Linked DNA regions of Cricetulus griseus. The protein of the gene in region 1 interacts with the protein of each later gene in a biochemical or structural test. Links are inferred from orthologs where the notes say so. Each region holds a gene or a part of one and is shown on either strand. Other genes may lie near its edges.

What was found.
Region 2: the proteins of Dlg4 (region 1) and Cysltr2 interact in a biophysical measurement, tested with the Homo sapiens proteins (2 studies listed by IntAct, with this or other methods). The link is inferred for Cricetulus griseus from reciprocal best matches to the Homo sapiens genes DLG4 and CYSLTR2.
Region 3: the proteins of Dlg4 (region 1) and Lrp2 form a complex in vitro, tested with the Homo sapiens proteins (2 studies listed by BioGRID and IntAct, with this or other methods). The link is inferred for Cricetulus griseus from reciprocal best matches to the Homo sapiens genes DLG4 and LRP2.
Region 4: the proteins of Dlg4 (region 1) and Kcna1 form a complex in vitro, tested with the Homo sapiens proteins (3 studies listed by BioGRID and IntAct, with this or other methods). The link is inferred for Cricetulus griseus from reciprocal best matches to the Homo sapiens genes DLG4 and KCNA1.
Region 5: the proteins of Dlg4 (region 1) and Gucy1a2 interact in a test that uses a peptide from one of them, tested with the Homo sapiens proteins (2 studies listed by IntAct, with this or other methods). The link is inferred for Cricetulus griseus from reciprocal best matches to the Homo sapiens genes DLG4 and GUCY1A2.
Region 6: the proteins of Dlg4 (region 1) and corticotropin-releasing factor receptor 1 form a complex in vitro, tested with the Homo sapiens proteins (2 studies listed by BioGRID and IntAct, with this or other methods). The link is inferred for Cricetulus griseus from reciprocal best matches to the Homo sapiens genes DLG4 and CRHR1.
Region 7: the proteins of Dlg4 (region 1) and Frmpd4 interact in a biophysical measurement, tested with the Homo sapiens proteins (2 studies listed by IntAct, with this or other methods). The link is inferred for Cricetulus griseus from reciprocal best matches to the Homo sapiens genes DLG4 and FRMPD4.

Annotation. Positions count from the first base shown.
Region 1 is NC_048600.1:83,875,083-83,879,343, reverse strand, and holds part of Dlg4 (disks large homolog 4), read right to left. Parts: intron 1,047-4,261; coding exon 993-1,046; intron 851-992; coding exon 791-850; intron 611-790; coding exon 486-610; intron 195-485; coding exon 25-194; intron 1-24. UniProt on the Homo sapiens protein: Postsynaptic scaffolding protein that plays a critical role in synaptogenesis and synaptic plasticity by providing a platform for the postsynaptic clustering of crucial synaptic proteins.
Region 2 is NW_023276807.1:227,541,373-227,546,404, forward strand, and holds the start of Cysltr2 (cysteinyl leukotriene receptor 2), read right to left. Parts: upstream 3,216-5,032; 5' UTR 2,847-3,215; intron 1-2,846. UniProt on the Homo sapiens protein: Receptor for cysteinyl leukotrienes. The response is mediated via a G-protein that activates a phosphatidylinositol-calcium second messenger system.
Region 3 is NC_048599.1:105,764,120-105,768,380, reverse strand, and holds part of Lrp2 (low-density lipoprotein receptor-related protein 2), read right to left. Parts: intron 3,683-4,261; coding exon 3,592-3,682; intron 2,875-3,591; coding exon 2,807-2,874; intron 2,669-2,806; coding exon 2,551-2,668; intron 2,052-2,550; coding exon 1,922-2,051; intron 1,197-1,921; coding exon 1,095-1,196; intron 1-1,094. UniProt on the Homo sapiens protein: Multiligand endocytic receptor. Acts together with CUBN to mediate endocytosis of high-density lipoproteins. Mediates receptor-mediated uptake of polybasic drugs such as aprotinin, aminoglycosides and polymyxin B.
Region 4 is NC_048601.1:19,842,330-19,846,536, reverse strand, and holds Kcna1 (potassium voltage-gated channel subfamily A member 1), read right to left. Parts: upstream 2,525-4,207; coding exon 1,037-2,524; downstream 1-1,036. UniProt on the Homo sapiens protein: Voltage-gated potassium channel that mediates transmembrane potassium transport in excitable membranes, primarily in the brain and the central nervous system, but also in the kidney.
Region 5 is NC_048597.1:118,403,229-118,407,489, reverse strand, and holds part of Gucy1a2 (guanylate cyclase soluble subunit alpha-2), read right to left. Parts: intron 4,252-4,261; coding exon 3,533-4,251; intron 1-3,532. UniProt on the Homo sapiens protein: Has guanylyl cyclase on binding to the beta-1 subunit. Isoform 2 acts as a negative regulator of guanylyl cyclase activity as it forms non-functional heterodimers with the beta subunits.
Region 6 is NC_048600.1:117,208,232-117,212,428, forward strand, and holds the end of corticotropin-releasing factor receptor 1, read left to right. Parts: intron 1-965; coding exon 966-1,038; intron 1,039-1,386; coding exon 1,387-1,472; intron 1,473-1,674; coding exon 1,675-1,810; intron 1,811-1,996; coding exon 1,997-2,038; intron 2,039-2,512; coding exon 2,513-2,653; 3' UTR 2,654-3,530; downstream 3,531-4,197.
Region 7 is NC_048604.1:102,254,842-102,259,102, reverse strand, and holds part of Frmpd4 (FERM and PDZ domain-containing protein 4), read left to right. Parts: intron 1-3,320; coding exon 3,321-3,452; intron 3,453-4,261. UniProt on the Homo sapiens protein: Positive regulator of dendritic spine morphogenesis and density. Required for the maintenance of excitatory synaptic transmission. Binds phosphatidylinositol 4,5-bisphosphate.

The DNA.
Region 1 (4,261 bases):
GAGCTAACATGGGGTTACCACTACCTTTAGGCCCTTTGATGAGCTTGATCTCCATGACCTTCTCAGCTGGGGGTTTCCGGCGCATGACATAGAGACGAACGATGGAACCTGCTTCTTTGAGGGCCTCTACCGCAGCTGAATGGGTCACCTCCCGAACATCCACTTCATTCACAAAAAGGATGCTGTCATTGACCCTGGGAACAATAATACAGGTCTAAGCCAGGAGTTTCCTACTGCCCAGCCCTCCCTTTCCAGGTACTAGCTTTCTTCCTTTCTTTCTTTCTTTCTTTCTTTCTTTCTTTCTTTCTTTCTTTCTTTTTGAGACAGTAATTCTCCTGGCTGTTCTGGAACTCCCTCTGTAGACCAGGCTGGCCTCGAACTCACAGAGATCCACCCGCCTCTGCCCCCCAAGTGCTGAGATTAAAAGCATGGGACACCAACTCCCAGCAAGTACTAGCTTTCTAAGCCCTGTCTTCTCTCCCAACCTGAGGCGGCCATCCTGGGCTGCAGCCCCACCAGGAATGATCTTGGTGATGAAAATGGATGGGTCGTCACCAATGTGCGGGTTGTCAGTACCACCTGCGATGCTGAAGCCCAGACCTGAGTTACCCTGGGAAGAAGGAGGATAAGAGGGTCAACATCCCTTACTGCCTAATTCTATTAAGGGATGCAAGAAGGGGACAGGATTAGAAAGGAGCAGCTAGAATACACAGGGACACAGTTAAGGGTCTGGACCCTAGAAACACCAGCCCAGAGCCAAGGGACTTTGAATGGAGGGGTTAGTTCTCACCCTTTCCAATGTGATCTCCTCGTATTCCATCTCCCCCTCTGTCCCGTTCACCTGCAACTCCAGCACGGGACAGAAACACAAAAACAGTGAGACAGACATTCTGGCCAGAGAACATGCCCCTCCATCCCCATTCAGGGACTCATTCCCTTCCTCTCTCCTACCCTTCTGCTATGGCCCCAGATCCAAAATCTAAACTACTCACATATCCTGGGGCTTCTAGGGTATCCGTGTTGACAATCACAGGGGGAGAATTGGCCTGAGAGGAGACAGAAGACAAAAAGCTACCTAAGCCTTAACTCCAGGGGAAGTCCATAACCAAAAGTGGGTCCAACCAATCTGGATCTCCTTTTAGCTGTATAGTCAAGCCACACCTTAGGGCAACTCTAAAGGACCCAGCCTGTCTACATTACACACACATGCATGCACTCACTCGTGTACATACACACACACACACACACACACACACACACACACACAGACACCATATGCACGCATGCACACACAACTCTGCCCAACCCAGGCCCCTGTATGTTTAAAGAGGTGTATGAGAAGAGGGAAGAGAGAGACAGCCAGACGGAGAGGGGAGCAGCAGATGGTAAAGAATGGGGAAAGGGGGAGCATGCTGGGGGGGTTGCTTCTCACCGGATGTAACACTACAGGGTGCTACATGCATTACGTGCTACGCGTTACACCCCAGGGTTCAGGTCCACTAGGTCCTGCTCTCCTCTTTGGGGTCCCCTTCCTGTCTCTATATCCTAACAATCAACCCAGATATCTTGATAACCCTCCCCCAAATTTGTCCCTCACCTTGGCACACATTTGCTCTAAATCTTGCGCCATGAGAATCCGGGGTTTCCCCAGCTTCTGGTCCCTCCCTCTCTCTCACCCACCCGCCATCCAATCCACCCCTTCCTCCAGGGACCAGGTTGCCTAGCAACGGTATCTAAGACCAGCCAAGACCTGGGGAGACCCACCTCCAGGAGGCCTGGTAGTCAGGACAACGGGTGGGGGGCGTGGCCTAGGGTACGACAGACTCCCTAGAGCAAAAGACTGGATGAGTCCTCTCCGGCTTTGGACCCGCCCACCGTTAGCCGGGCCAAGAGGCCAGAACGATTCTATTCCTGGGCGTGGGCGCAGCGCATCCTGAATAACCTGCCTTCCTCTCTCCTTTGAGCCCCTCACCCTACGCAGTGCAGAGAACGTCAGGAAGGAGAAATGGTAAAAGGCATCCAGAACCTAGCCTGTTCTACTGCCCCCACTTCATTAAGGAAAGGGTTAAAGCGAGGCGTGCCCTGGTCCCTGACGTCAGTGGCCTCTACTTTGCAGCCGGGTCTCTAGCTAAACTGCAGGGCGGGGACAGCTTTAGACTTGTCCTAGGGGCTTCCCCAATTGCCAGGGCAACCGAAGCCACCGTCTCTATAGCAATGAGGTGAGGCTGCCAAGAGACTCCTTCCGGGGGTCCCCAATCTATTTCCTCCTTAGACAAATACTTGAAACCGATCAAGTACGAGGATTCCCATTCCCTTCCTAAGTTCTCCCTCTCCTATAAAGGTCCCTCTTCTCCCTTACTGCTATTTCTCAAATCCAGAAACTCTGAACCATTTCAGGCCCCTTAATAGATTTCATACCCGTGAATCAACTGTCATCTCCACCACCACCACCACCACCCCCGGCCCCAAGCGAACGCTGTTGTCTAGCCGATCGTAGCACACATCCTCAGACCCACCCTTAGACTACAACCTCTCCCCGCACCCAGTCCCTAACGATTCTTTATCTCTACTGTCATCCCACACCCTCCCTAAGTTTGCCAAAATATTCCAACCCCAGTTACCATTCTCCACCCACTTCCCTGTCCCCATAGCAGACTTGAGCTCTATCCCTTCTCTTTCCTATCCTCGCCTGTCACCTCTCTGAAGAGAGAGGGCACCTCATTATCCCCCTTTACCTCATCTGCAACCCCTTAAGGTCCTAGCTCCAAATAACACCCTCCACTTCCCAACCCACTCCCCAACTCTGGATATTGGAGCATCTCCTGTCCCTTGGCCGAAGCCCTGTCCTGAGACTTCCCACCTTCACTTACCGCCTCTCCTAGCCACTCCCTGAGCCTTTGCATTGTACCGCTACTACCCTCAGCACCGGTCTCCTCCCCACCCCAGACATAAAGGCCTCATCTTGCAAAAGGCACCTAGAACCTTCCTTCACCCCCTCAAGTCACACACACACACAAATATTCTGCACTGTGCCCGTTTCCAGTGCTTCATTTTCCTCCCACCAAGCAGCTTATTGAGCCCCAATTTCCGTCTTACCCCCATGCCTTAAGACCCCTGCCTTCCTGCTTTTCTCTATTCCTCCCTTTGCCACTTTTAGCCTCAGAGACTGCTACAGCCACTTTCCTGCCTCATCCCTGGTTCACAAACCTTCTCCCATCTTCTAAGTAAAATATCAGCAACTGGGGTCCCCTTCCTAAAACATCCCATATTTCTGGCCCCTCTGTGTTCTCCTCAATCCTACAGCGTGTCCCCCTATAAGAGGCAATTAAGAGAAAGGGGGCTGGGAAATGAAAGGTCTCAGAAACAAGGCCTCTCAGGCCTGGAGAAAAATAAATAAATAAATAAAAGCTGACTGTGAGCACAAAGGAGGAGGGGAAGGGGAACAGGTGGCCATATATATAACGAGGACAGGGAATGGCTGAAGAAGGAATGGGTGCAGGTGAGACCAAGAGGAGGAAAAAAGACAGATATGATCAGGGAAGAGTGAAACGGGAAAGAAATGGGCAGCTGGAGGGCAGAGAGAGAGAGAGAGAGAGGACCGACTGCTCAAACCAGGAGAGGGTTGATCAGGCCACACACAGAGGCCTGAGCTGGGGATCAGCGAGAGGGGGAAGGAGATGCATGCGTGGGAGGAAGAGAGAGACAGCATCAAGAACCAGCCAGCCAGCCAGCAGGAGGGAGGGGCACGGGAGAGGAGCAAAGGCTGGGGCACAGGAAGAGGCAGAAAGGACCAAGATTTGAAGTCTCAGTCCAGCCAGATGGAAAGAGCTGGAGACTCGGGAACAGGCAGAGCCAGGCCCAGAGGCAGAGGTTGGGGGAGGAGGTGGGGAAAGGGACAGGAGCAAATGAGGGCACCAAGCACTTGGAACAGAGCTATGGACACAGAAAACTGAAGCGGAGGCTGGGGGTGCGAAGGGATGAAGAGGGCCCTGGCACTGAGAGCACCTCTTGGGGATCCTTCATCCATCTCAACACACCAAACACACAAAAAGGCACATACATTCTGGCTTTAGGTTCTGTGCCCACTCCCACTTTCCTGGCCTATTCCTCTTCTGTGAGACCCAAGTGTTTCCAGCGACGTGTCCCCTCCCCCCATTGCCAATCAAGAAGCATACGCCCCCCCCCAGGAGCCCAAGCCCCAGATGCCAGGCCACCCCCAATCTTTTCCCCCATAGCTCTTGCCCTACCGGCCCTTGGGGAT
Region 2 (5,032 bases), on another chromosome or scaffold:
ACCGGAAAGAATCTGCTTTCTCAAACAAGGTAAAGGAGAGGTTAGGGCAGTCTCTGCAGGATCATTTAAGAAGATTTTATGTGGGAAAGAGACTTTTTTATTTTTTTTCAAGAAATAAATAATATCAAGAAGAGAATTAACGATGGATTAAGCTTTTACATTTTCTCTGTTTAATTAATATTTTCGTTGCCAAAATGGGCAGCCTCCCCTTCCCTGTCCCTTGTCTCTCTCCTCCTTCTTGCTCTTCCTCTAGTAGGCTCCCAACCCATTTATCTATCAGTTTTGAGACAGTGTTTCAAGTTGTCAAATGTGACCTAGTACCCCTGATTGCCCCTCCCCCACAGTGTGAGATGACCAGCATGTACCACCAAAGCCCAGTGTATGTGGCACTGGGGATCAAACCCCAGGCTTCCTGCATCCTAGGCAAGCTGATACATTAGCCAAAGTTCTGGGTAGCTGCATTATCCCTTATGAGTCTTTTCCTCTATAAGCTTGCTCTTGGGGACCAGCATGTCTTTAATGCCTTCTGTTCAGGACAAACAAGAAAAGCAGGCCAGATCCTGGGGTCTGGAATACACAAGGTAATGGGTATTAACAATTCCTGAGCTGATGCTGACCCAGAGTAATGAGTCCCATCCTGTGGAGGGAGGAGGTCCTCTCAGGTGCCAGGTAGATAGAGTCTCAATTTTTCAAGTCTCAACTCTGCTTTTCTGTCATTTCACCCCTCTAAACTTTAAAACCTTCATCTGCTGAGGGAGTGAGAGTAAACGAAGAGGATGAGAGCAGCCCAATCAGCTCTGTGCCTGACATACCAAGTGTGTTGTCCACATTAGCCACAACTACAACACAACATGTAACAATCATAGGCAAAACTCAGAACCGAATACAAGGCTTCTTTCTAGTCAATTGGAAAAAAGAGTTGGGGCCACTTTATCGGGAGTGTGAACCAGACAGACACAGTCAATTCTATTCAATTCTGTTTAGTTTACTTTTGTTTTTGTTGCATTGCTATATTAAATTAAGGTGGCAAAAAGATATTAAGCTGAGTTGTGGAAATGACAAGTTTTATCAGTTAGACAAGTCTAAAATTCTGTACATACACTTCTTTTTCTCTTTTTCTAAATACAGATAAGGATTTTGAAAAAAAGAGAGAGAGCATGTTATAATGCTATTTTGTATCCTGCTTTTTCTTGCCACTGAGACATGGTCATCTCTTTTTTTTCTAAGTGATATAGTGCCAATGCCATCATTTAACTATATAATAATATACAGATGTAACAAAATTCATTTAATCAATTTCATAAAATAGTTATTATTGGGGTTGTATGGATGTAGCCATATATTCTAGACTCATCAGTTTGGTTCTAACTTGGGAAATATCCTACAATCCCAGGGCTTCATTTCTGCCATCTCAAAAATGAGAAATACCCTCTCTATAGATAAAGATTGTTCCACAGGTCAAATGAACAGACATATGAAAACATGTTTCTATATGGTAAAGTGCTACATAAATGCTTGTGCTTATCAAAGATGCTAAACAGACACTCTCCTCCATGGGATGAAAACAAGAAGATATTTGTTTGACACGCTATTGATCAAATTAAGGTCAAGTATATGCCTGTGGGAAGCTCATAGCACAGGCAGAACTGCTTCAGCCTGATTTAGGTGCCGTTATCTGTCCAGTCTTTTGATATGAAGTCAGTCTGTTTTATTCTTAGGGGGACATTGGGGTCCAATGAAAATAATTTCTTTTGGAAAGCAGGGTGAACCATTAGATCAGTCTTGGCCACCTGCTGTATCTTCGGTGTGCTTGTAAATGGCCAGATATTAAATGTCCATCTCTTGACTGACTTTGAAAAGTTATACAAAGAAAGGAAGTTGGGCTACCTTGGCAGGTACTAGTGCCCACCGGGCTTAATGTTAACATATTTAGAGCCTTCTAAATCCTCAACTTCTCCCACAACTACCTTCCCAAGCCATAGAAACAAATCTACTTCCTTCAAACATTAATTAATTGAAGCTTTCAAATAGGTTCTAATCTCAGGAGTTGAAGTAGACAACGGAAATTTCTAAAGTTCTTATATGCCCCACAAATTAGCTCTCTAAGTTAGATTACTTACATAGTAAAAGAGAGACTTGCCTTTAATTGCATCTCATTTCCCCACCATTATTACTCTCAGGTATGTGGTATCGACAAGAAGGTTTTTCAAACAACCATTTCTTTAAGAACAGACCATTTATTAATAACAACTGAGAAGTAATAGCAAACAAAACCCATTAAAGACTGGTTAATACCAGGAAACCAGGTTTAAGCTGTTTGAGGCATTGTTCTCTAATCTGCTGAGATGCAGGCAATTCTGACTGAGGTGCAGCCCCAGCTGAAAAACCAAGATGGGTGCTCCAAAACAAACCGATTCCAGCACACGTGTTCATGTTCACTGCACCTCTGAACAAAACCACTGAAATCTACCTTCTCAAATACAATCCTCTTCCAAAAGCAAGACTTTTGAGTAGAAAAAAAAAAAAGCCTTATGGGATAAAATGACCAAAGGAGGGAAAATATCAATGCCTTATATAGCAATCGCAATTGTGGCTCTGCAGAATTCATGGCAGCATGGATAAGGCACAAGGTTTACTGGAAGGAGTGAACATAAACGTGTTTGTATTTTACAGATGCAGCTATGAAAGGAAGCTAAAATCATATGCACAAGCCAAAAACAAAAACAAAAAAACATATGTGGTAGAACTGATAGTTGAACAAATTAAGCTTACATTCCACACGTCATTCCTGTAGGAGCCATCAAAGCACAATTCTGAGTGACAAATGAACAAACGGTACAACCCACCTGTGTGCTTCCTTCTGCGCCCGGCCTCCTCCCGCTTGCCCTGCCTTCCGACTCTGCCCTCTCTCCTGGCTGTCTCCCCATACGATGCAGCTTGTTCATTTAAAGCAAGAGTGAAACGGCCAACTCTGTTTTATGAACAGTGTTAGCCAATAGCAAGAAAAGAAGGAACTTGGGTCAGCAGGTCCTCAGCTTGGTGGCAGGATCGTGGGAATGAATGCTGGCTTCCTTCTTTGGAAGGCAGAGAATTTCCAGCTAGTGACCATCGTACCAAGTCACCCTGGAATTATCGTCCTCTAATGACTCTTGATGTTTTTGTTGTTGGGATTTCTTTTCTTTTCTTCTTACCTTTCTTCCTTCCTTCCTTCCTTCCTTCCTTCCTTCCTTCCTTCCTTTCTTTCTTTTTTCTTTTAATCAGATGTGATGGGCGGGGGGGGGGGGGGGAGGGGGGGAGTTAAGTGGCTTTTATTTCCGAAAGGGTTTCTGTTTCCATGACAAGCCCATCAACTCCGCTTTTCACACTCAGCCCTGCCGACAGCTTTAGATAAAGCACTTTCACTACCCTCTGGCTTTCCCGTGCACTCTGGCAAAGGCCTTACTCACTCTGCTAAAAAGTCTCTGTGAAGGCCGCCACTGGTCTCATTGCTCCTGTAATGTGTTACTCTTGCTTGAACAGTTAACTGTGGAAACTCTGTCACCATATTTCTCAATCCACCTGGCTTTTTTCCCAACTTTCAGCCTGATTCTCCTTTGCCTCCTGGACTGCTTGAATGAGAAATTCCCAGTTTCATCCCCCGTTCTGTATTTCACCTCCTGATTCAGCCTCTCTGGCTTCTTCATTCCCATCATGCAGTTCTTCTCCTCCTACCTACCTACACACACACACACACACACACACACACACACACACACACACACACACACACACACACACACTACTCCTGTTAGCTCAACCTCCAACTTGAGCCAGCAATCCCTGGGACCCTGCCTTCCTATATACAAGTGACAGATGGACTGAGAAAGAAATCAGGGAAACAACACCTTTCACAATCATCTCAAATAATATAAAATATCTTGGCATAACTCTAACCAGACAAGTGGAAGACTTGTGTGATAAGAGCTTTAAAACACTGAAGAAAAAAATTGAAGATGGGAAGATCTCCCATTCTCACCAATCAGTAGGATTAATACAGTAAAAATATCCATCTTGCCAAAACCAATCTGCAGATTCAGTGCAATCATAATCAAAATTTCAACACAATTCAAAAATCTTGATAGGGCAATTTTTGCTTTATATGGAAACACACACACACACACACACACACACACACACACACACACACACACACCAGAATAGCTAAAACAATCCTGAATAATAAAACAACTACTGCAGGTGTCATTATTCTCAACCTCCTCAAACTGTACTACAGAGCTATAGTAAAATAAACAATATGGTATTGGCATAAAAGTATACATGTTGATTAATGGAATCAAACTGAAGATGCAGACATAAATCCACACACTTATGGATACCTTATTTTGGATGAAGAAGTCATAAATATAATGGGGGAAAAGACAACATCTTTAATGAATGGTGCCGGTCAAACTGGATGGCTACAGATCCAAACAGGGTCCACACTTTTATCACCCTGCACAAAATTCACATATACTGAGCCTGATAGAAGAGAAAGTAAGGAATAGTCTTGAGCTCAACAGTACAGGAAAAAACTCTGTGAACAGAACATTGGCAGCACAGACACTACAATCAACAATTAATAAAGGGGACCTCATGAAACTGAAAAACTGTGTGGCAAAGCCTGCTTGGGGCTGGTTACAGGTGTGCCTGGCCACACCCACTTGGGCATGGTCAGGGTGATGTGAGGAAGGTTTAAAAGTGAGGGACAGGCACGTGGGGAGCCCCTTCTTCTGCTTACCTTTCTCCCTGCTGGCTGGCTAGGCTGAGTAAGTAGGATTCTCCTACATAAATATCCTTATAGCTATACCTGACTCCGTATTGCTATTTCACTTTACCCTGTCATTTGGACAAAGCAGGAGGCTACAGAATGGGAAAAGATTTTTTTTTACCAACTATATATATCAGATAGAGGACTAATATCCAAAATATATAAAGAACTAAAAGACTAGACAGCAACAAATGAAATATTCCAATTTTTAAAAATTGGGTACAG
Region 3 (4,261 bases), on another chromosome or scaffold:
ACTGCCTAAAAGAGAAAAGACTTTTTTTAAAAAATAGGCTTAATGCTTAATTCTATTTTTGTAAAATTCCATGTAATTCTTTCTTAAACCTAAATGACCCTGGCTATATGCATTACAGGGAAGATAATATACTCCCTTTTTTTGCATTTTACATCCACTATTTTGTTTCTTCTTAAACTTGTATGTGTTTGTATACACTCCTCCTTTTATTTCATGTGAAAATACCAGATGAAATTTCATCTCTGCTCCATGATGCACTATCAAGGAGCAGGTAAGAGTTTTTCAAGATCCAAACATTTTTGCTCTTAAAAAAGCTATTTTTGAGCCAGGCAGTGGTGGCACACACCTTTAGTCCCAGAACTGGGGAGGTAAGGTAAGGCAGATCTATGAGTTCAAGGACAGCCTGGTTCCAGGACAGCCATGGAGAAACCCAGTCTTGAAAAACCAAAATCAAAACAAAACACAAAAGCTATTTTTGAAAGAAACATTTCTATCATATAATATTAAAGTATACCAATACTGAATTTGAAAGAAATCTAGTCACTGACAAATACTGAAGGCTATTTGCTGTAGCTACTTAGAAAAAGGAGGCACAGGTCAAGTCTAAAGGTGGCATGGGCTGTTAGTCCAGACTAATGAAAAGCATGTTGTCTGTCTCTTCTCCCAGTTTCTCTTAATACAGAGCAATAGTAAGCCTTTGCCAAGCAAATCTTAATTTCTGACTTCTGTGCAGTACAGGTCATCTTCCTGCTCAGATTGTGTCCTTGGGACACCTATCTCCTTCTTACTCATTTCTGACATAGTTCCCTGTGTCTGTCATAGAACCCTGTGTCTCCTGCATCTCTAATAGACTCATACCCCTTGCTAAGACTGATTCAGAATGACTGAGCACAGAGAACACCCCCAGCAAAGTCTCTGCTAAGACACAGTGCTCTAACTTTTTGCAGGGCTGTAAACTAGGGCAGCTTCATGACTGTGGACAGGGAATCTGAGATGAAGGTCACTGTGTTTCATCCCTTTAGGAGGGCAGGTTAGAGGCAAACATTCTGAACACGGGAAGATTCAATGGCAACAAAGGCAGAAAGACATCTCACCTGAGCTGCCAGGGCTGCTTTGGAAGTGCTGTCCTTAGCTGCATATGTTGGATTCTCAAATACCACAGGCTGCTTCCCCACCTCCATGATGAAGTTTTCGTTCTGGTGGGGAGGAGACAGAGAGGTCACACCCACTGATACCAGACAGAAAGGTGTCTCCCTCATACCTGGATGCCTACCACACTTTCACAAAGTCACCCAAATAGGAGGTCTTAGAGAGGCTGGGGGAAAGATAGCAGCAGCAGAGACCCATTGTAGCAACCCACTGTTTCAGCTAATAAATAATGAGCCACGCCATTTGCCCTGGAAAACACAAATACTCTTTCCACAGCTGAATTCTCTATGGTTCTCTAACGTATGTAACCCACTGTGGTCAGAACAGTGGAGAAAAGGATGCGTGGTAGAAAAGGACAGGAAGGTAGGCAACCGGGGAATATTGTTCTTTCAGGCAGGTGTGGGGATGGAAGATTGGAGGTGGAGACAAAGCATTAGGAGTGGGTTTTCAGATTACAGAAAGGCCCTGCTGGGCCACAGCTGTGCTAGGCTCATCCCTGAGTGTGCCACCTGCTGCTCATAAGCGGCAGGCACGTCCCTATTCTACACAAGAGGCCAGAAGGACCAGAAAAGGTCAGCCCTTGACTATCTATAAATAAATACTTAGATGGTAGAGTCATAGTTTCCACCAACTCTATATGGCCTACAGAGGACAGACTGTGTTTCTTTATTTTAATATCCCCCAGGGTTAGTTTTGTTCCTTATAAGAAGGGTTTCTTCCATAAGTTACTGTAAAGGAAAACTTCAAATAGTCACATGGAAGACCCACTCACCATTGCCATTGATCTATCAATAACTGTCTCCGGGCCAAAAGGAGAAACACCAATGTCCATGCTAACATCAGCCCCTGATCTGAAAGTCACCCCATTTCCATTTTCAGAGGGTTTCGCAAGGCTGCTTAAACTGGAATGAACCAAAACAATGTTGTGTTAGTCGGGTGGTGGTGGCACATGCCTTTAATCCCAGTGCTTAGGAGGCAGGGGCAGGTGGATCTCTATGAGACCAGCCTGGTCTACAAGAGCTACTTCCAGGACAGCCTCCAAAGCCACAGAGAAAGCCTGTCTCAAAAAAAACAAACGAACAAAAGATATGTTGTGTACACATGTCAAAAACACAGCAGCGCTGGGCTGCTGTTTTTAATCCCAGCACTCGGGAGGCAGAGACAGGCAGATCTCTGTGAATTCGAGGCCAGCCTTTCTACAGAGAAAGAGCCAGGACAGGCTCCAAAGCTACACAGAGAAACCCTGTCTCGAAAAACCAAAAAACACTGCAGCAAGCCCAACCCTCACCACCACCCCCACCCCCGTCTACCTGAACACACAAAAGCACAATCCCAGATACAACATCAGAACAAGAAACAGAGGTCACTTGTAGAAAGCCAAGCCAACACACAGAAACTGACCTTGGCAGCTTGGGCAGAGTGGGTAAAAGGGTGCCAGTTTTTCTGTAGTGAAAAAATCCAAGGAGTATCAGAGCCCCAATGATGATGATGATCAGGAATGTCAACAGCACAGCCATTGCTGCACAGGGGACAGAAACAGAGAGTCAACATCACCACATGACCAGGAGGGCTAGAGCGGCTAGAGCCCATGAGCCTGGGGCAAAAGGAAGATGGAGGGCCGTGACTATTGCAGGTCACCCATATTCTGGACACTTACTTGTCCCTGGAGGGATGCCTCTTGAGAGCCCAACCTCACAGTATTCTCCGTTGTAGCCACTAGAACACCTAGAAGCAAGAGGAGACTACTTAGTCACCTTCTAGAGGCTCCTAGTGCTGTGGCCAGTGAAATGCATGAGGAACAGGCGATGCAGCCGGCATCACAGCTGCTTCTCCTGCCAGCCTAAAAGCACTGCTCTGTCCGATTCCAGAAATTCACTTATGGTGGAGTGGCATCTATGAGGGTCAGCCTCACAAATAAGGCTTCTTTGCACTTCTTCCTTAGAGAGAATTGATAGGCACGGTGGCAGCATTCCATCCTCCAACAGCTTTCGGGAAAGCGACCATTCCTCTTGTTCTGTGGTGAAGGTTTCCCACAGGCTAGTCTGCTTGTCATAAGCCTTGTATTGAAGCATCTATCTCTCCTGTCAGTTGCCCTTCCGTGCTCCTTCCTAAGCCATCATCCCAGGTGAGGTGGGAGGTGGCATAGGGAGACACACTGCTATCCTTTCTTTCACTCCTTGCCCTTCCTTGTGACTCTGCCATTCCATTCAAATGCACATAGGCATTTGAGCCAGATCCTCAGCCAAGGCTTATGCCAGGTACGGTTTGGGAAACATGGCCTCACCTTCTGCAGACTCCCCCAAAGGAGGACAAGCTGGTTAGACATGGAAACGGAAACGGTGAATTGGGCAAGCTTCCTGCACTTGTTTCCCCAGCTATAAAGAGCTCGGGTTCCCTAGAAGAGCCAAGGCCTACAACTGGGACCTCAAGAGTCAGACTTACTTGCATTTGGGGAGGTCATTCTCATCAAAATAGCAATTTCCTCCGTGCATGCATCTGCATGGGGGAGGCATGATGACGGGAAGTTCGATGGCTGCAGAAAGGAAGAGCCATGCATGGGTTAGTCAGCCACAGGCAAGCAGAGCACTACACCATGCAAAACCTGCCCAGGACTGAGGCGGGAGGGGTAAAGGGGATGTCGGGCCTCCCTGCTGAGTTATCACCTGTTCCCAAAGGCAAATGAACTTCCTAAACAATGGTGAGATCCTGGGGAGTGATAGATAGAAACTTCAGAGTACTTTCTTCCTCTAAGCAGTGAGGTTAAACCCAGAGTATATATTGTGTCACCCGAAATCCCCCAGATTCTCTTCTGGGAACCATTAGAACCAAGAGTTTCATTTAGACACAGCTTGAAACTGCAACCCAGGACTCCAGATCATCAGCAGAGGACCAGGCAAGTGGCAGACACACAGACACAGATAGATGGGAAAGCAGCTGAGGGAAATCTAGCCACTGGATTACTGCACCTGATTCACCCCCGGCATACCACCTGGATGATTTCTTTACCACATGTGTGCTTTATTTGATGAGTTTGTCTACTGTCTCTACTCAGAGTTCCTTTCATCAGAGAGGCTAGGCAAGCCAATCATGCCCGCCCTGTGCCTACTGCATG
Region 4 (4,207 bases), on another chromosome or scaffold:
GGGGATTCTTCCCATCTGACTAACATATGCACTTAAATACAGTACTTTAGTTGCTAAGAAAAGAGTTAATAAATGAAGGAGTGCACTTTTGGTGAATGCAAATGAAAAAGGGCCTATATTTAGAAGAGTCAATTTCAACTTAAGCTTATTCCCTATTGTCTGGGTTAACTGTCTCGGCATGCTATTATAAAATAAATGTTATCAGATTCAAACATGCTTACCATTTAACTCTTGTGCTCTTGCAATAAGGAGGGTAAGATGGTAAGTTTTTACATCCACTTCTGAAGGTCAGGGGTCAGGGTGCAGGATTAGTGAGAAAAGACCTATATTTGGATCATCTGCAGTTGAGAGAACTTAGCAGCCCTACAGATGAATCAACTTGTTTAATCAAGTTACCCTTTTCTTAGAGAATAGACTGTATTTAGGAGAATGGGGCAGATGGAAAATCCCAACAGACTGGGACCAATAACAGATGTATAAGGTGCTTTGGGAACCAGTCTTAATTAGTCTGATTTTGGTTGCCTTATATGCAATTCAGTTGATCAAAAGAAAAGCATTTGTTCACTGACCACTGAGGCTGTTACGTGTTCCACAGAGTACACTATCTGAAATGTGGTGTGCAGTGTGCAAAAATTTGAGGGTGGAGTCCCATGCAAATTTGAACTTATATTCCTAAGTGGTCATCTGATTTTTAGGTGTTCTTTTTTTAAAAAAAAAAAAGCCTATGGCAAAAGATTGGAAATATTTCAGTACAGGGAAACATGAGTCTTATTTCACATGGACTCCTTAATGGACAGCACTGAAGCCAGTTTTAGAAAATACTTTCTTTTCTCATTTTTAATAAAATGAAAATAGGGGTTTTTTTTAATGGATCTTGAAAGCCTCAGGTTTGCCACTCCCCAGATTCACAATGCAACAATGCATTGACAGTTAAATAAAGCATTCAAAGACTAATGTTTAGTGAAGTATCTACAGAGCGGGACATGAGTCACCAGGGCTTTTGTTTGGGGCTTTTTGCTTGCTTGCCTGTTGCTTTTTAAACATCGGTCAGGAGCTTGCTCTTATTAACGCAGTTTTGGTCAGCTGTGGTGCAGTTACCAGTTCTGATATTGGCCTGTCTGTAATGGGCTATGCTATTGTTCATATCCTCTTCGATTTCCATGTACTCAGATTTGCTGATAGTAGAGGAGCTGCGGCGGCTGAGGTCACTGTCAGAGGCTAAGTTAGGAGAGCTAACGTGGAGCAACTGAGCCTGCTCTTCCCCCTCAGTTTCTCGGTGGTAGAAATAGTTGAAATTGGACACAATGACAGGTACGGGCAGGGCAATTGTCAGCACACCAGCGATGGCACACAAGGAGCCCACGATCTTGCCTCCAATTGTCACAGGGTACATGTCACCGTATCCCACAGTGGTCATGGACACCACCGCCCACCAGAAAGCATCGGGGATACTGGAAAAGTGCGACTCAGCTTCTTCCGCCTCGGCAAAGTACACTGCACTAGAAAACAGGATGACCCCAATGAAGAGGAAAAAGATGAGCAGCCCTAACTCCCTCATGCTAGCTTTGAGGGTCTGGCCCAGGATCTGGAGGCCCTTAGAGTGGCGAGAGAGTTTGAAGATTCTGAACACCCTTACCAAGCGGATGACCCTGAGGATGGCCAGGGAAGTGGCCTGCTCGCCTTTCTGATTCCCCTCCTGCTCAGCTATCTCCGTGCCCAGGGTAATGAAATAAGGAATGATGGCCACGATGTCAATGAAGTTCATGATGTTCTTAAAGAAGTCCGTCTTGCTGGGGCAGGCAAAGAAGCGCACCACCAGCTCGAAAGAGAACCAGATGATACATAAGGTCTCCACAATGAAGAAGGGGTCTGTGAAGATGTTGGAAGTATAGATGACTGTGGTGTTGTCGATGCGGTGGATGGTGCCCGTGAAGTCCTTGTCATCCTTCAGCTCAGGGAGAGTCTCCAGGCAAAAGATGACTATGGAGATGAGGATGACCATGACCGATACAATGGCGATAACCCTGGCAGGCCCTGAGCTCTCCGGATACTCAAAGAGCAGCCACACCTGGCGCTGGTACTCCTTCTCAGGTAGGGGGCGCTCCTCTTCCTTGATGAAGCCCTCATCTTCCCGGAACTTCTCCATGGCCTCCTCGCCCAACTCGTAAAATTTGATCTCCTCGGAGAACATGTCCAGGGGCACGTTGACCGGCCTGCGCAGGCGGCCCCCTGACTGGTAATAATAAAGGATGGCATCAAAGCTGGGCCGGTTGCGGTCAAAGAAGTACTCGTTCCTTAGGGGGTCGAAGTAGCGCATGCGTTTCTTTGGGTTGCCCAGCAGCGTGTTGGGGAACTGTGCCAGGGTCTTGAGCTGCGTCTCGAAGCGTAGCCCGGAGATGTTGATCACCACGCGTTCGCAGCATTCGTGGTCGTCGTGGTCCGCCTGCCGTGGGTAGCTGCCATCCTGGGGGTGACCCGGAGCGGCCGAAGCCTCGTCCGCATTCTCCCCCGACATCACCGTCATGATGGAAGCAGAGTGCAGGGGTGGGAGGCCAGGAGAGAGCCCGGGGTGTGAAGGAGCGAAGGAAGAGGGGTGGGGGGGACCCAACCGGCCCCCCCACCGGAGAGTGAGTCTCCCCCACGCTCACGGGGAGGGGCTTCGGGGCCAGAAGGTTCAGAGGTCTGCAACTTTGCTAGTTACCACCTCCCCCTCCTCCACTCTGCCTTTTACCCAATTTGGAAAGCCCTCTCGCCTGAGGGCCCCCAGTGAGGCTTTTTCGAGAGGTTTGGGTTTTGGGGGTGTGCTCTGTTTTTGGGGTTGGTGGGTTTTTTTCTTCCTGCTCTGACTGCCTTAACGCACACCTGCCATCTCTCCGGGGCTCGCCAATGCACCCCTCCCCTCCTGCAGCCTTCCTAGGACCCGGTGCAGTGCCAACTCAGCAGATCCCCACGCCTGTCACCCCCTTTGCTGCTCCTTGGCTCTCCCCCCCTACCCCTCTTCGCCTGCCGCCTTCTAAGCTCCCACGGGGCGATCGATGGACGCTGCAGAGAAATAAAAAGTGATACCAGGGTAGAAAATCAGAAGCATTCCTATGGGACGAACCTATAGACACCGAAGAGCACAGACGACTAGCTTTTGTAGAACACACCGGACTTTTACTGGGGTTAACACACACGCACAGACAGACACACAACAGACACCCAGAAATCCAAGTTTGGAAATCTTCCATCCCACTTTCCCCCCCTGCCCAGCAGCCGATTCGTTTACAACTTCGTTAAAAACTGGAGATCGGAAAAGCGCTTAGAGATGCTGGGGGAGCTCCGGGTCCTGGGCAGCAACTTCTCACCCTCAACCTCCCCCACCCTGTCATCCTAACCTCGGATTCTGCAGCCCCGGAACTGTGGAGCTCCCTACCTGGCGGGCCGGCTTGGCGCAGGGGCGGTGCTGAGTCGGCGGCGGAGAGTCGGAATGCGGCAGGTCTCCTTTGCAGCAGTCGGAGCGAGCCACCTCCACAGCAGCATCCGAGAGGCACTGGGCCCCTCGTGGTCCGCGTCCTTCTCCTCTCAGGGGTCCGATCGTTTTACTGAGCAGCTATGGAGGAAATGTCCGTTCCCTGCCCCCATCCTCACATGGTGCAGGCAACCTGGGGGCTCGGTCCTCTCTCCGCTGCAGAGAGTTCCGGAGGATGCGGGATGGAAAAGCAAAAAGGCCACCCTCTCCCGAGTCACCCAAGCAAATGGCGATAAGCAGCACTCTCGCCCCCTCTGAACACTACAGGAGCCCTTGATTCGATCCCGAGAGAGGCAGGCGGCCCAAAGCCTGGCTCTACATGGCTATCGGGTCTCCGCACCACCGCACGGACCTCGCTCTGCAGCGCGCCGGGAGCCTTCAGCAGATCGGAGTGGAGTAGGGAGCATGCGGCCGCAGGTCCGCTCGGTCCATTTCTGGGCGCTGCAAGATCAGCAGAAACCTGAGAAAGCGCCTGGAATGCGGAGCAGCGATTGGCCCACCAGGGCGTGGGTTGGGGAGGGCGGGGGAGGGCAGGAGCGAGGAGGTAGATGGAAAATATGAGGGGGTGGTTTGGCAGAGGGGGGTTGTCATTCAGTTCCCATCCTTGCCAGCATAGCTTTTCTTCTTTTTCCCTCCTCTCCTCCTCGAAAAGCCCACCACCAACTCCTCTTCCTCGGTGGCCCGCAGCCCCGCCCA
Region 5 (4,261 bases), on another chromosome or scaffold:
TCATATCTCTGAAGGCTTAGGGATCAGGAAGTGGCAGTACTTAAGAGGGAATAAGAGGTATGGCCTTGTTGGAGTAAATGCTGTCTTGTTACAGGAAGTGTGTTACTGGGGAATAGGCTTTGAGATTCAAGGCCCAGGCCAGTCCCAGTAGCTTTTGTTCTTTTTGTTCCCCGTGGAACTAGTTATAGAAATCTCAGGTAGTTCTCCAATACCATGTCTGCTATCATGTCAACATGGTTCCCTGCCATGACAAAAATGTCCTAAACTTCTGAAACTGTAAGCCAGATCTGATCAAATATTTTCCTTTATAAGAGTTTCAATGGTCATGGTGTCTCTTCATAAGCATAGCACACTGACTAAGGTATCATGTTACCTATTTTTAATGATCAACCTATGATAAGCAAAGAAAATAATTAAAAGGATGTTGTGCTTTAAAAAAAAGATGAAAACAGGAATGTTGCTACCCTTACGGTTCCATAATGCACATGGGAGGATCAAGTCCATACTGTGTCTCATCAAATCACCCATGTGCATCTTAAAACTCAGCCATACACTTAGCCTGTGACTAAGAATGTAAAATGATAAAGACCATGGTTTATCCAAAGCATTTTAGTTAAATTTAAAAATGGTTTACCATCATTGGCATAAGATTAACTGTTGGCCTCATCTTTTTAATAGCAGTTGATGGTTCAATACTATCTAGTGCATAGTGTGAAGAGTAGTTTCTTATTAAACATGAATAAAGAAACAGAGGCTCCAGGTACATGGGGTCATGTATCAAGGATAGCTTTTATGAGGAAATACTTCATATCAAGGTCAAACTTAAGAAAATCCCATAATTTTGAGGTCTGATTTTCTTTCTTCTTAGCATATTTGAAAAAAAGTATACAGGGTATTGGGTGACATACTAATTCAAAAAGTTATTCATGGTTCAAGATGCCATTAACTGAGGAATTTTCAACTGGAGACAAGTGTAGTGTCACAAATTCCTCATTAGGGCAAATATGAGTGAATGAGCAAGAATGTAAATATAAGGTTGAACAGATTATTATCTCATTCGAAGTAAAAATCCCACCATCACATTATTTTTAAACCATCGCCAACATGTTTAAATGATAATTGCATCCTCTCAATGAGCACAGTTCCTTATTATTGGAATTGGCAGGGGGCCCTGACATTTGAGTCATCATCTCATTATGTCTATTTCTTATCTTAGTACACAAATTAAATAGAAACCCAGTCAGTCCCAGTGAAATTTGGGAGAAGGATGAGCAGTAACCTTAAATTGCAGGGTTTTTTCCCCTTAAATCTGTAGGGTATATAAAGAAATTAACATATGTAATAATATCTCATTCAGGCAATTTTAAAAAGGCTGGCTTTTATTTTAAGGCCAAAAATGCTTCAAAATCTCAAGCCAAATATTGAAGTTGTACAAAACAAAACTGACAGTTTCAGTATTCTCTAAATGTAAAAGCTAGAATAATTATAGGTTTAAAAAGCAACTACAGCTGGGTGGTGGCCCTCCTTTAATCCTAGCACCCAGGCAACAAGGGCAAGCAGATCTCTGTTCCTGTGAGGCCAGCTTGATCTAAAGAGCAAGCTCCAGGACTACCACAACTACACAGAGAACTCTACCTCAAAGACACAACAAAATAAATAAAAAGTGCTACCAATGTAGCAAAAATATACATTTTACAAGTTTCTCCCATTCTGAAACAGTTTCAGAATGTACAGAGATTATGAAACATATAACACACATCTTAAAATATTAATAAAATTCCTTTATATGATCAAGTAGGACAAATAATAAAAGTAAGTTTTAAAATTAAGCGTTGAAATGTGCTATGTGGGAACCCAAGTCTGCCCTCAAGTGATTTTAAATCATTGGATTTGCATGTCAAAATTTTTACTGGTGAATTGTCTAGATCACTTGATTTAGCAAATTGAAATAGATGTACATTGTTCTCAAATGTCTTTTTAAAATTCTTCTATTAAAAGTCCAAGATTATAAAATTAATCAATTATAAATCTCTTTAATAGACCATCAGTTATGGTTCCCTGAAGCCATTCTTCTTTCACTTATCATTGAAGACACTTCATAATATGGATGGTGTTAAGTTTCAAATCCAGGACAAATGGCTGAAGTGCATATTTAACAAATCAAAGCTGGACTTGGCATGACTTTTCCCAGCATCCCTCAAATCCCTACCTGTTACATAGTATGGCCCACATACCATGCCCTCTACCCTGAACTCCCCAGCCCAAGGGCTATGCTACCCTTCCCTGAGAGGTCTTCCCTATATAATCCACACATTTAGGTTATCTGCCATCTTTTGGACCTATGACCTCATGACTGCTGCACCAGATCCCACTCTTTCTCCCTCTCTTCCCCTTTGTCCCCCCCCAAGGCTTATCTCACTGTGGTCATGTCCACTCTGGGCTCCCCCAGAAATCCCTATTCTGCTTATACTCTCCCACATATCTATAATAAACTTTCCCCTCTGCCATACATAGGAGCAGTCACATCCTTTCCTTCCATTTTTATTTCATGAGTTGTTCAGTTAGATTATTAATTTATTCAGGTTTTCTTTCTGCCATTTTTCTCCTCGTTCATTCTAAAAATCAGCAGCTTCTCAAACCACTTACTGTTATGATAAAGCATGTGGGAGAACTTGGTGGATTTCATGGTGGAAATGGTTACTGAGGTGGGGAACAAACATTCCAGGCAGACAAAGTTAAGTGAGAAATTTTATTAGAAAGTGGAGAGGAAAGGAAATGGGAAAGATATAAAGACACAGAGACACAGAGACAGAGAGAAGAGAAGAGGGAGACAGGAGAAATCCTGTCTGCCCCAGGGGAACAGAGGGTAAGAACACAAGTGGTTAGGGTCTTTCTTTTAAAGGGATCATTTGCACCTGCCTGCACACTACATAACCATGGAACCCTGGGCTTGCTAGGGTACTGCCTGAGTGATTTTTTTTCAGGTGACAGGGGCAGGCCAGCACAGTGCCTGAATCCTTACATTTAGAATCCAGAGGAATAGTCTAAAATTTGAACACTAAAATTTAATTAGTCCATATCCAACATTGGGAGAATACATTTTTTTCTTTCTTTTGGCACACACACATGGCATAAATGGAGTGTTCCAAGACTGTGAAATTTAAGAGATCCTAATAAAATACAGCAGGCTATTCTCTTTGTTTACTTAAAGATTTCTCTAACTGACTTTTCCATGGAAACATTCAAGGGTTTATAATGTTAGAATTTTATTGAGTCCTATCATTTTGTAATTTCTGTGGCTGGTATTAATAAGTTTCTTTCTTTTATGTGCTGAAATAAATTAACAAATGAGGCAGACACTATGTAAAAGGACTGGGAATACAGCCAAATCTTTCTACATGCATCCAGAGATGGGAAATCTTCTGAAGCTCTCTTGTCTAAATAATTACAACTACAGCCAGCATGTAATTTATTGAAATAATTACCTATTCTACTAGATCCCATCATTTATCTGGAATCTATGGCTACTTACCTTGTCTTTATTCTCAGTACAAGAAGCTTCAGGCTTGGTTCTTATCACAAATGGGGTGGAGAGTCGCAGCAAGACCCTTTCAAATGTGGCATTAACCTTTGGAGAGACTATCTCAAAGCAGTCTTCAAACTTCAACACTTTGTGAGTGTCACATCGAAGTTGCTTCCTTAGGCCCTCCCCCAGCTGAAGAACCGCCATGGTGGGGTCAAACATCAAATGGAATGGGAAGGCTCTGCAGAAGGTGTTGATGCTAATTCTGAGATCTGCAGGAACTTGGGAAGTACCTTGTGGAATATTCTTTGGGATGTGAAGAGTTTCGCATTCTTTGATAAGGAAAGAAATACAGTTGCAATTGCTTGGGTTTGAACCATCAGAGCACAACTTTTCATTTTCAATTTGCTCCACTTCCACATTCAAATGATAGATTCTTTTTCCTGCAGCCTTAATCATTCCCAGCATTGCAAACCCCACAGTATGGTGAGGATGGAAGTAATGCAGCATGAGAGTACCTTCAGGAAGCTCTTTGCATAGGAAAGATGGTGACTCCAGAGTGGCCTGTTTCCCAAAAGAAGTTCTAATGTGTTCCAACAATGCATCAAAGCCATTGAAGAAGTCCTGCAATGTGCCACCCACAGCTCGAAGGACTCTCTCATTCTCATCAAAGCATATCTTAAAGAATTCCTCACCAAATCTTTCTTGAATTTCCTGGAACTTCAGACCTAAAGAAAA
Region 6 (4,197 bases), about 33 Mb from region 1:
TAGAGTCCCTGAGTGGGTGCCAGAGAAAGCAGTGCTAGGCCAGGATCCAGAAAGTTTCTGGCTTGCTGTTTTGAGAATTCTTTCCCTGAGAAACACAAACAAGCAGCTACTCCTTCCTTAGGGGTCCAACGACAAACTCAGATGCAGTTCACTGAAGTCCCCCTGGGGGAGCCAGTAAATTTACTGGGATTGCTTACAGGACGTAGGCAAAGGGTTATTTATAGAAGCATAGGTGACCTCAAAGTAGCCAGGCCACTAAAAAGTCTCCCCACAGCATGGGTATGACGTCCCTATAGCTACATAAATGGAGTCTCACCCCAAGTTACCTCTGTAATGCCAGCCCCTCTTAAGACATGAGGCTTTGTGCAGTCAGGGCAGAATTATATACAGCTAGCCTAGAGGCATAGGAGGCAATGGCTGGAATCTCAGGCAACCCCTCTCTCCCTACTTCCCCTTTCTATGAGGGAATGTCAACAGTTGGTTCCATCCTGAGGGTCTCTTACAAATAGTCAAAACTGCGTGGATGAGGGTGATGGCCTCTGGGAGGCCTTCTCTTCACAGAGTTTACTCCAATTTCATTTTCCACAGCAGAGGGTACAATCCACTTTACAGAAAGGACATCCCACGGCAGAGGATACCATCACCTTTGCAGATAGATAGGACCACATCCCACGACAGAGGGTACCAACCCCTTTGCAGTAGTTAGGCCAACATCCCACAGTGGAGGATACCATGCACTTTGCAGGTAGATAGGACCATGGCAGAGGGCACCATCCTCTTTGCTGATAAGATCACTGAGGCAGTGAAGCAGAGTCTGCTGGCTTGGGTTTCTTGGAAGCTGGGGTGCCCTTTTCTGGCCACTGGCATTGATCCTGCTGTGGCCAGGCATTGCCCTATGATCAAGCACTGTGCCACTTAATGGATCCTGCTGACCCCTCCCTTCCTTTTCCTTCTGGGCCTTCTAGGTGCTGGTTTGGCAAACGTCCTGGAGTGTACACTGACTACATCTACCAGGGCCCCATGATCCTGGTCCTGCTGGTAAGAGCCTGGGGAGGTAACAGGAGACGAGCCACCGTGGAGAGGGACAGTCTGCCTGCCATGAATAATCTACCTAGGTGTCCCCAGAGACAGCTCTGCTGGGAGTTTGTGGGTGTTGCTGAGAGTGGGAAGGAGGAAGAAAGAATGGGAGAGGGAGAGAGAAGTGAGGGAGGGGTGAGCGAGCGTAGCAGGAACACCAAGAGCAGAGCTGAGAGGACTGAGGGCCTGTCCTGTCCACCCCACCCACCTCCATTTCCTGCATCCATCCCTGACACGTGTGCCCATCCCTGGTACCCATCCCCACCCCTGCCAATCGTCCTCACTCCTGCTGGTGTGCTCCAATTGCAGATCAACTTTATCTTTCTCTTCAACATTGTCCGCATCCTCATGACCAAACTCCGGGCATCCACCACGTCTGAGACTATTCAGTACAGGTACCTGGCTCCCGATGGCTACTTCAGAGGGTCCAGCCTCCTCTGAACCAGATCTCTTCCAAGCCAGTCGGTCAACCCCGAAACAGCCGCTCCACCTTCCCAGACATCCCTGAAACCATCTCCCAAACCCATCACTCTCCCCAGAGCTAGCAGCCCCACCCCTCCTGGGTAGCCTGTGACTCTGGCCTTTCTCCTACCTTAGGAAGGCTGTGAAAGCCACTCTGGTGCTGCTGCCCCTCCTGGGCATCACCTACATGTTATTCTTTGTCAACCCTGGAGAGGATGAGGTCTCCAGGGTCGTCTTCATCTACTTCAACTCTTTTCTGGAGTCCTTTCAGGTACTACCATCTTCCTGAGCCTTGCCAGTCCAGCTCAGGATGGGGAGGTGGGGCATGGACTATATTTGTGCCTGCATGGGTGAGGATCCTTCTGACAGAGGCCTGGAGGATTGTGGGCTGGGGCAACCTGGGCTGGTAGGACCCCATTCCCCTCTGACTCCCCTCTGACTCCCCTCTTCCCTTCAGGGCTTCTTCGTGTCTGTGTTCTACTGTTTTCTGAACAGTGAGGTAAGGACCTAAGGCCATGGCTGAGCCTACCAAGATTGGGAACTGTCCCCTCATGTCTCTTCTGCCCTAGGGTGGCTTCCGTCCCTCTTCCCAGGTCCCCATGGGTTGCTGCAGGGAACTTTGAGAAGTCCCTGTCCCTGCTGATCTGCACCTGTGAGGACAGCTCCCCCTCTGACTTTAGGCATGTCAGGGGTGGGCATGCTGGCTGGTAGATAGGGTCTCAGTGAGGGAGGAGTCAGGCAAGGTAGAGATTCTGTGTGGCAAAGGCCAGGTGGTACATTTGTTAGACTAGAAAAAGGTGTTCCTTTCTCACAAAAAAAAAAAAAAAAAAAAAAAAAAACTGGCTTAACAAATAGCAAACCAATAGTAGTAATTACGTGCGTGTCACCACCTACTGTAGATCCTGTTGCTACACCTGGTAGCTGGGGGCAGTGCCCTAAGCCTGAGCTCTGATGCGTTACCTTGTGCCCACAGGTCCGCTCTGCTATCCGGAAGAGGTGGCATCGGTGGCAGGACAAGCACTCGATCAGAGCCCGGGTGGCCCGTGCCATGTCCATCCCCACCTCACCCACCAGAGTCAGCTTCCACAGCATCAAACAGTCCACAGCAGTGTGAGCTACAGACCTCAGAGCAGTCCCCGGACCTGGAGCTGGGGAAATGACACAAGCTCACAGGCGAGCCTATCTGCAGAGGCAATCGGCCATCCCATTCCTACCCCTGGGCTGCAGACCTGAGAGCTCATAGCACTGGACTGGGCCCACGGCATCTGGCTTCCTGCTGCCTATTCTTCTTGGAGAGGGGAAATGGAGATTGGGGGTTAGAAATCCTGCAGCGGTTTAATGGGCCCTGTGAGAGCTGTCTTCTCCCAGAGAAGTACACTGAAGATCTTAGTCTCCAGCAGTTGTAGAGAGGCCACTTGCTACCCCGGGGCATCATGGGAAACTCTTCTTCTGTGATTGTGAAGCCTCCAAGTCTTTGGATGCTACTGAGAATCAGTGTCACGTTGTCCGGTCCGGAGACCTGGAGATAGCGTTAGAAATCTCATGACATCATCAGACAGCACTCCACCGCCCTAGAAGCCACTCCTGAGCCACCAGAATGTCATCAGCACCGTGGCACAGCCACTGGAAAGCCCTGCCTTGCTGCCTTGCACCCTTGGTCATTTACTATTCTGCAGGCCAAGCCAGCTTTCTGTCACTTAACACACTGACAGCAACAGTACTCTCACCGTGAAATCCTATCACCTCCTGCCTCTGGGTGTCTTCTGATTTGTGAGAAGATGGGGGTTGGAAGGGGACTGAGTTGCCTGTGAGGGAGAATCGGAGTGAACCCAGCTTTTGAGGAAATAGTAGCACTTAGGTGCCCAGGCCACTGGCTTCATTGGCTGGCCTCTGGAACATGCTCACAGGCTGAGTGAAGCAAGAAGGGTCCTCTGTTCAAGTGCCCTGAATTGGGGCAGGTGGTTCCTGGGACAACTGACAGACCCCTTACTCCCCGGCATGGAATGGCCCAGCCCTCACTGTGTCAGAGGGCTGAGGAGCCATAGCAGGATTGAAGTGGGGGGGGGTTGATATAAATAATATTTATCTTTTCAATTACTTTTGTGAAGGCTTGCACTCTGCTGGGGCTGGGAGTAAGCCTGAGGGGAGCTCCCCGAGAAGTAGCCAGCAGGGACTACTGCATGGCAGGAAGCCTGGTCTCACTCGTGCCATCCAGTATGAGCCCAGGGGCTGGAGGCAGGGTATGAACTCCAGACATGAAGATATGGGTGTGATCAAAGATGCTGAGTAAGAAACAGCTCTTGGTAAGGCGGTGAGACCTGGAGAGAAGGGTCATAGGTTACCATGGCCGGGACAGCCAGACAAGAACTGTAACAATGAGGCCAGGCAGAAGCGGGCTCCAGTTCCATGGAAGAGAGTCAGGCAGCAGTTAGGAAGCTGAGCAGCCAGTGGAGCTGGAGGCTTCCCAGAAGCACTCATGGAGATGTGGTTGCCAGGGCATCTCAAGGCAGGACCAGAGGTGGGTCCTCAAGCAGGGAGAGAAAGGGAAAGGTCAGACGGCATGCAAGCACCAGGGCAGGCAGCTGGAACTTTGGTTTGCTGAGGATCCTGGAGCACGAGGCGAGGGAGCGGAGTTGGGACACTTATCCACCAACTCCT
Region 7 (4,261 bases), on another chromosome or scaffold:
ATCCAGCAAGAGACTATCAAGTCTGTGTTTAAGATGTCTATCAATAGTCAACCATTAATTCTCTGTGTTTAAAAGGACTCAGAGTAGATCTCACCTGTGCAAACGGTTCTACAAAGCCCACTTGCCGTGCATTCTTATTGTCATAATACCAGCAAGCAGCTGGGTTTAAATTGCCTTAAATACATGGTGATTCAGTAGGCAGTAGAAGGCACAATATTAGTAGATGGGTGTAGGAGCACTAAGTCATCCTTAATTGTCCCAGATGAAATACTAATTCCCTTCATATAAGATTACTACTTTGAAATGGTGACAGCTGATGAACTGGTTTTTTTCTTTTTTCCTATTCAATACCAATGTATGATAGAAGATTGTTGATCCAATAATCAATCAACTAAAAGGGGAGTCAGCAAATTCTTTCTGGAAAGAACAGTAACCATTTTGTGCTTTGAGGCCATCCGTTGTCCACAGGAATTATGGGATTATTTTATCGCACCAGGAAAAGAGCCACAGAGAGGTGGTATTGAGAGGTCCTCTGGATAACCTTTTGGGTGAATGATCTTCTTGAAGAACACCTAGAACTCAATTATTTGTCCTCTCACATTCTAGTTCATTATAGCAGAGGGTGAAATGTTGGATTCAAGAAGGGAAGTCAGCCCATAGGACAGCTTCCAAAGTCATGGATACCTACAGGCAGTGTTATAGTCTCCCAGAAATGATATAACGCTATACACATAGATTACAAAAAACTCCCCTTTGTATTGGTATCCAGATATTTTATTGGAGATTGGTCACTTAGATACAGCTGACAAATTACATGCCTGGACTTAGTGCCTTGGCCCTCTAGAAGTCAAGTTGATAGTGCATGCCCAAGACTATTTGTGGCCTACTGTTAGCAAAGACTGTCTGCTATGGTCCAGGGTTTTAGAGACAGCATAATGACTCCTGACAGGCAGACCACTGAAGAGCTAAGAGGTCCTTTCCCAAGAGTGACACAGCAGAGCCACATCTTTCCTTAGGTAATGCTAATCCATCCCTGAACACACTTTATGTGAGCAAATGAGAATGACCAGTTGGACCCATGGACTGTTGTTTTTAGGCCCCGGAACCCATGCACAAAAAGTATATTACTGTGAATCTCTCTGCCCTTATGGACTTATTCTGTGTTCTCAATTGCTCTGGTCTTTGCTATTACACTTTCTACCTCCACTTGAGGACATGCTAAAACTTGAGTACATTTCTTACCAGAAACGACTTAAACTGAAGAAAAGTTCTATTGTTCATTCCTTTTGGCTTCTTTATTATAGCAACTCACACTAGACTTAGTTTGATTTCCTGGTGGATTGCAGGTAACAATGAGGAAGCTAGGGACTGTGCAAAGAGTTCACACAAATTTCAAGTGATCTTATCTTGTACCTAACAGCCTTGTTAGCACAACAGACACTGGTTGGTGGCATAAAATAGAAATAGTACAGTTATGAAAGGAAGGTGATAACTGCTGAATACATTTTGCCAAACTCTCATTACGGAGTAATAATATGGAGCAACTATCAGGGTCATTTCCACTATCCAATCCCCAGGGTTTACAAAACTGTGTTCATGTAGTCATACAAAGCCTGGGTTGTGTTTATCTTTCATGGATTTTGTGCAAAAAAAAAAACTATAAAGCAGGAAATAGTTTAGATCACTTTCAACACAATCAAGTAATTTTGGTTGAACAGTTATTCTTTGGGGCTGGTATTTGTGGATTTTGTCTTAATGGGGCCTGAAGGAATGGCAAAAGGGCATAAAGTAGACTCAAATAGTACAACACTCCATCAAAAACCAACTTCATATATGGGAAGGTTTTTCTACCTTAGCAACCAACTATTGTGGTTTTGGAATAGATGATTATTTGCCGTGGCTGTCCTGTGCATTGTTAAGACACTTAGCAGCATCCCTACTCTCCACCTACCCAATACCAATGACATCCCCAAACCTGCTATGACAACCAAAGGATGTCTCCCAAAATATCCAAATGTTGCTATAGGACATCATTTTCCCCCATTGAGAAGCCCTTATGTACAGTACTTTGAGAACTTGACTAAAAATTATCTTGATGAGGGATCATTTACTACTTTCAAATCTGTGAACAAATGAAAGGCTGCAGAGACTAGCTGTGCCTTGCAGTACAGCCTTTATTTGTGTACTCAACACTTTTGACTATAAATGTTTAATCCTATAAAAGATTGCAGACATAGCATGCTCATTTCACCTTCCCCAGGGATGTAGAATAAACATATACTGTTGTGGTGGTGCTCTCTGTGTAAATGGCATTATAATAAATGTTTTGTAAGTATGAATGCATGTGATTCCTATATCAATTCCAAGGAATTACATGTAGGGAAACTGAGATACTTAGAGGTTAAATAACTACCCAGTGCTGCAGAGATTATAAGCGTGAGGACTGGAATTAGAGACTAGAATTTTCTCAGGAGCTTCACCCCTACCATGGTGTTCTATCAGAAGAGGAGACCAGGGTCAGCATACTATTTGGGGGCAGAACTGAAATGCTGGCTATTTCAGGCATCTCAGGCTCAATGCTGTTCATGCAGTGTGTGGGAAATAAATCAACCATGAACGATAAAGAGATGGGTTGACTCTGTTACAATAAAACATTATTTACAAAATGGGTCGTGGGCTAGATTTGGCACATAGGCCATACTTTACTAGTCCATGGAATAGAACACTTTGAGAGCTGGTTTGATTGTTTCTCACTTTAAAAAGAGGAGACTGAAACTAGCCCTCCATCTGTTTAAAAAAAAACTTTCTAATTTAGAACCTTGCACAGGGCTGCAGACATTGCTGAATGGTTAAGAGCATTGACTGTTCTTCCAGAGGACTTGGCTTTGATTCCTAGCACCCACATGGTAGCTCACAACTGTCTGTAACCCCAGTTCCAAGAATCTGATGCCCTCTTCTAGCATCCCTGGGCACCAAGCATGTAAGTGCTGCATATCACATATGCAGGCAAAACACCCATACATGTTAACATATTAACAAAAGGAACCTTATATGATCACCAAACTCCTCTTCCAGCTGTTTGCCTTACCTCTCATATTTGAACTCCATAAAAAGTAGAAACCAGAAAGGGCCAAGGAGAAGAAAGCCTCAATTCTGGGCTTTTTCACCCATAACACCATTAGATTTTAGTGCCAATTGACAGTATTCCATTACAGAATGTAAAGCCTAAATAGATGGCATACTTTCTGGCCCTGGTAGTCTGTAAAAAATAAAAGGGACTGTTGATTTTGATCTCTTCGTGTCACTGTTTGCTCTGTAAGGATGTCATCTTAACCCTGCAAGAGAAGCTGTCTATCAAAGGCATTGAACACTTCTCACTCATGCTGGAGCAGAGAACCGAAGGGGCCGGAACCAAGCTGCTGTTGCTTCATGAACAGGAGACACTCACTCAGGTCTGTAAAGTAACCCCAAGAATGATGCTGCTGGTGGAAGCAGAGCCGGTGATGTCTCAGAATGCCCTCTTCCAGTCCTCTCATTGGAGCTTCTCTATCTCCCAGGTCCTCCCTGAAGGAAGCACTTCCTTTCTAATGCATTTGACACCTCAATGAGATAACCCCCTTTTGCCAATCTGTCATAGACCTTCAGTTGCTCTTCCAGATTTGTCATTCAGAGGCCAGACAGATACTGGAATGTAGCTCTGCAGAGTGACATTTTATGTTACTGCAAATGGCATCTTTGCTTGTTTTGATCTCCAGTCTCCTCAAAATCATTAAAAACAAAATTATTCCTGAGAGTATGTAAATTAAATCAAAGTCATCTATGTTGTCTTCAGTTCTGGGTGCAGAGTTATGACTAATTTTGGAAACCTGCAATCACTACCCCAGTCCTGCCCACTATGTATATGTGATCTACCAGTGTGTCCCAATTGCTGGTTCCAAAGATGCCACCCCCATCTGTTCTCTGGGGAGACAAGCCGACTGCTTCCTGCTGCATTCAACATACCACCTTCACTTGTCTCAACTTTAACAAAGCTGAGCATCTTGCTTGAGTATCTCAGTATCCACAAAGTCCTCTTACATATGAAAGTTCAGTGAAAAGATAACTCTAGAAAGAGGGATCGAGAGGACATCATCATCTGAAGTAGAAACCTACCACCAAGGGAGTGGAAGGACAGGAAGCATTCTCATGCTAAAGTGTTTCTTGTTTGATGCATAATTCAATGTGAGTATTTGTGGAGGGGGGTTGGAGGGATAGCTCAGCA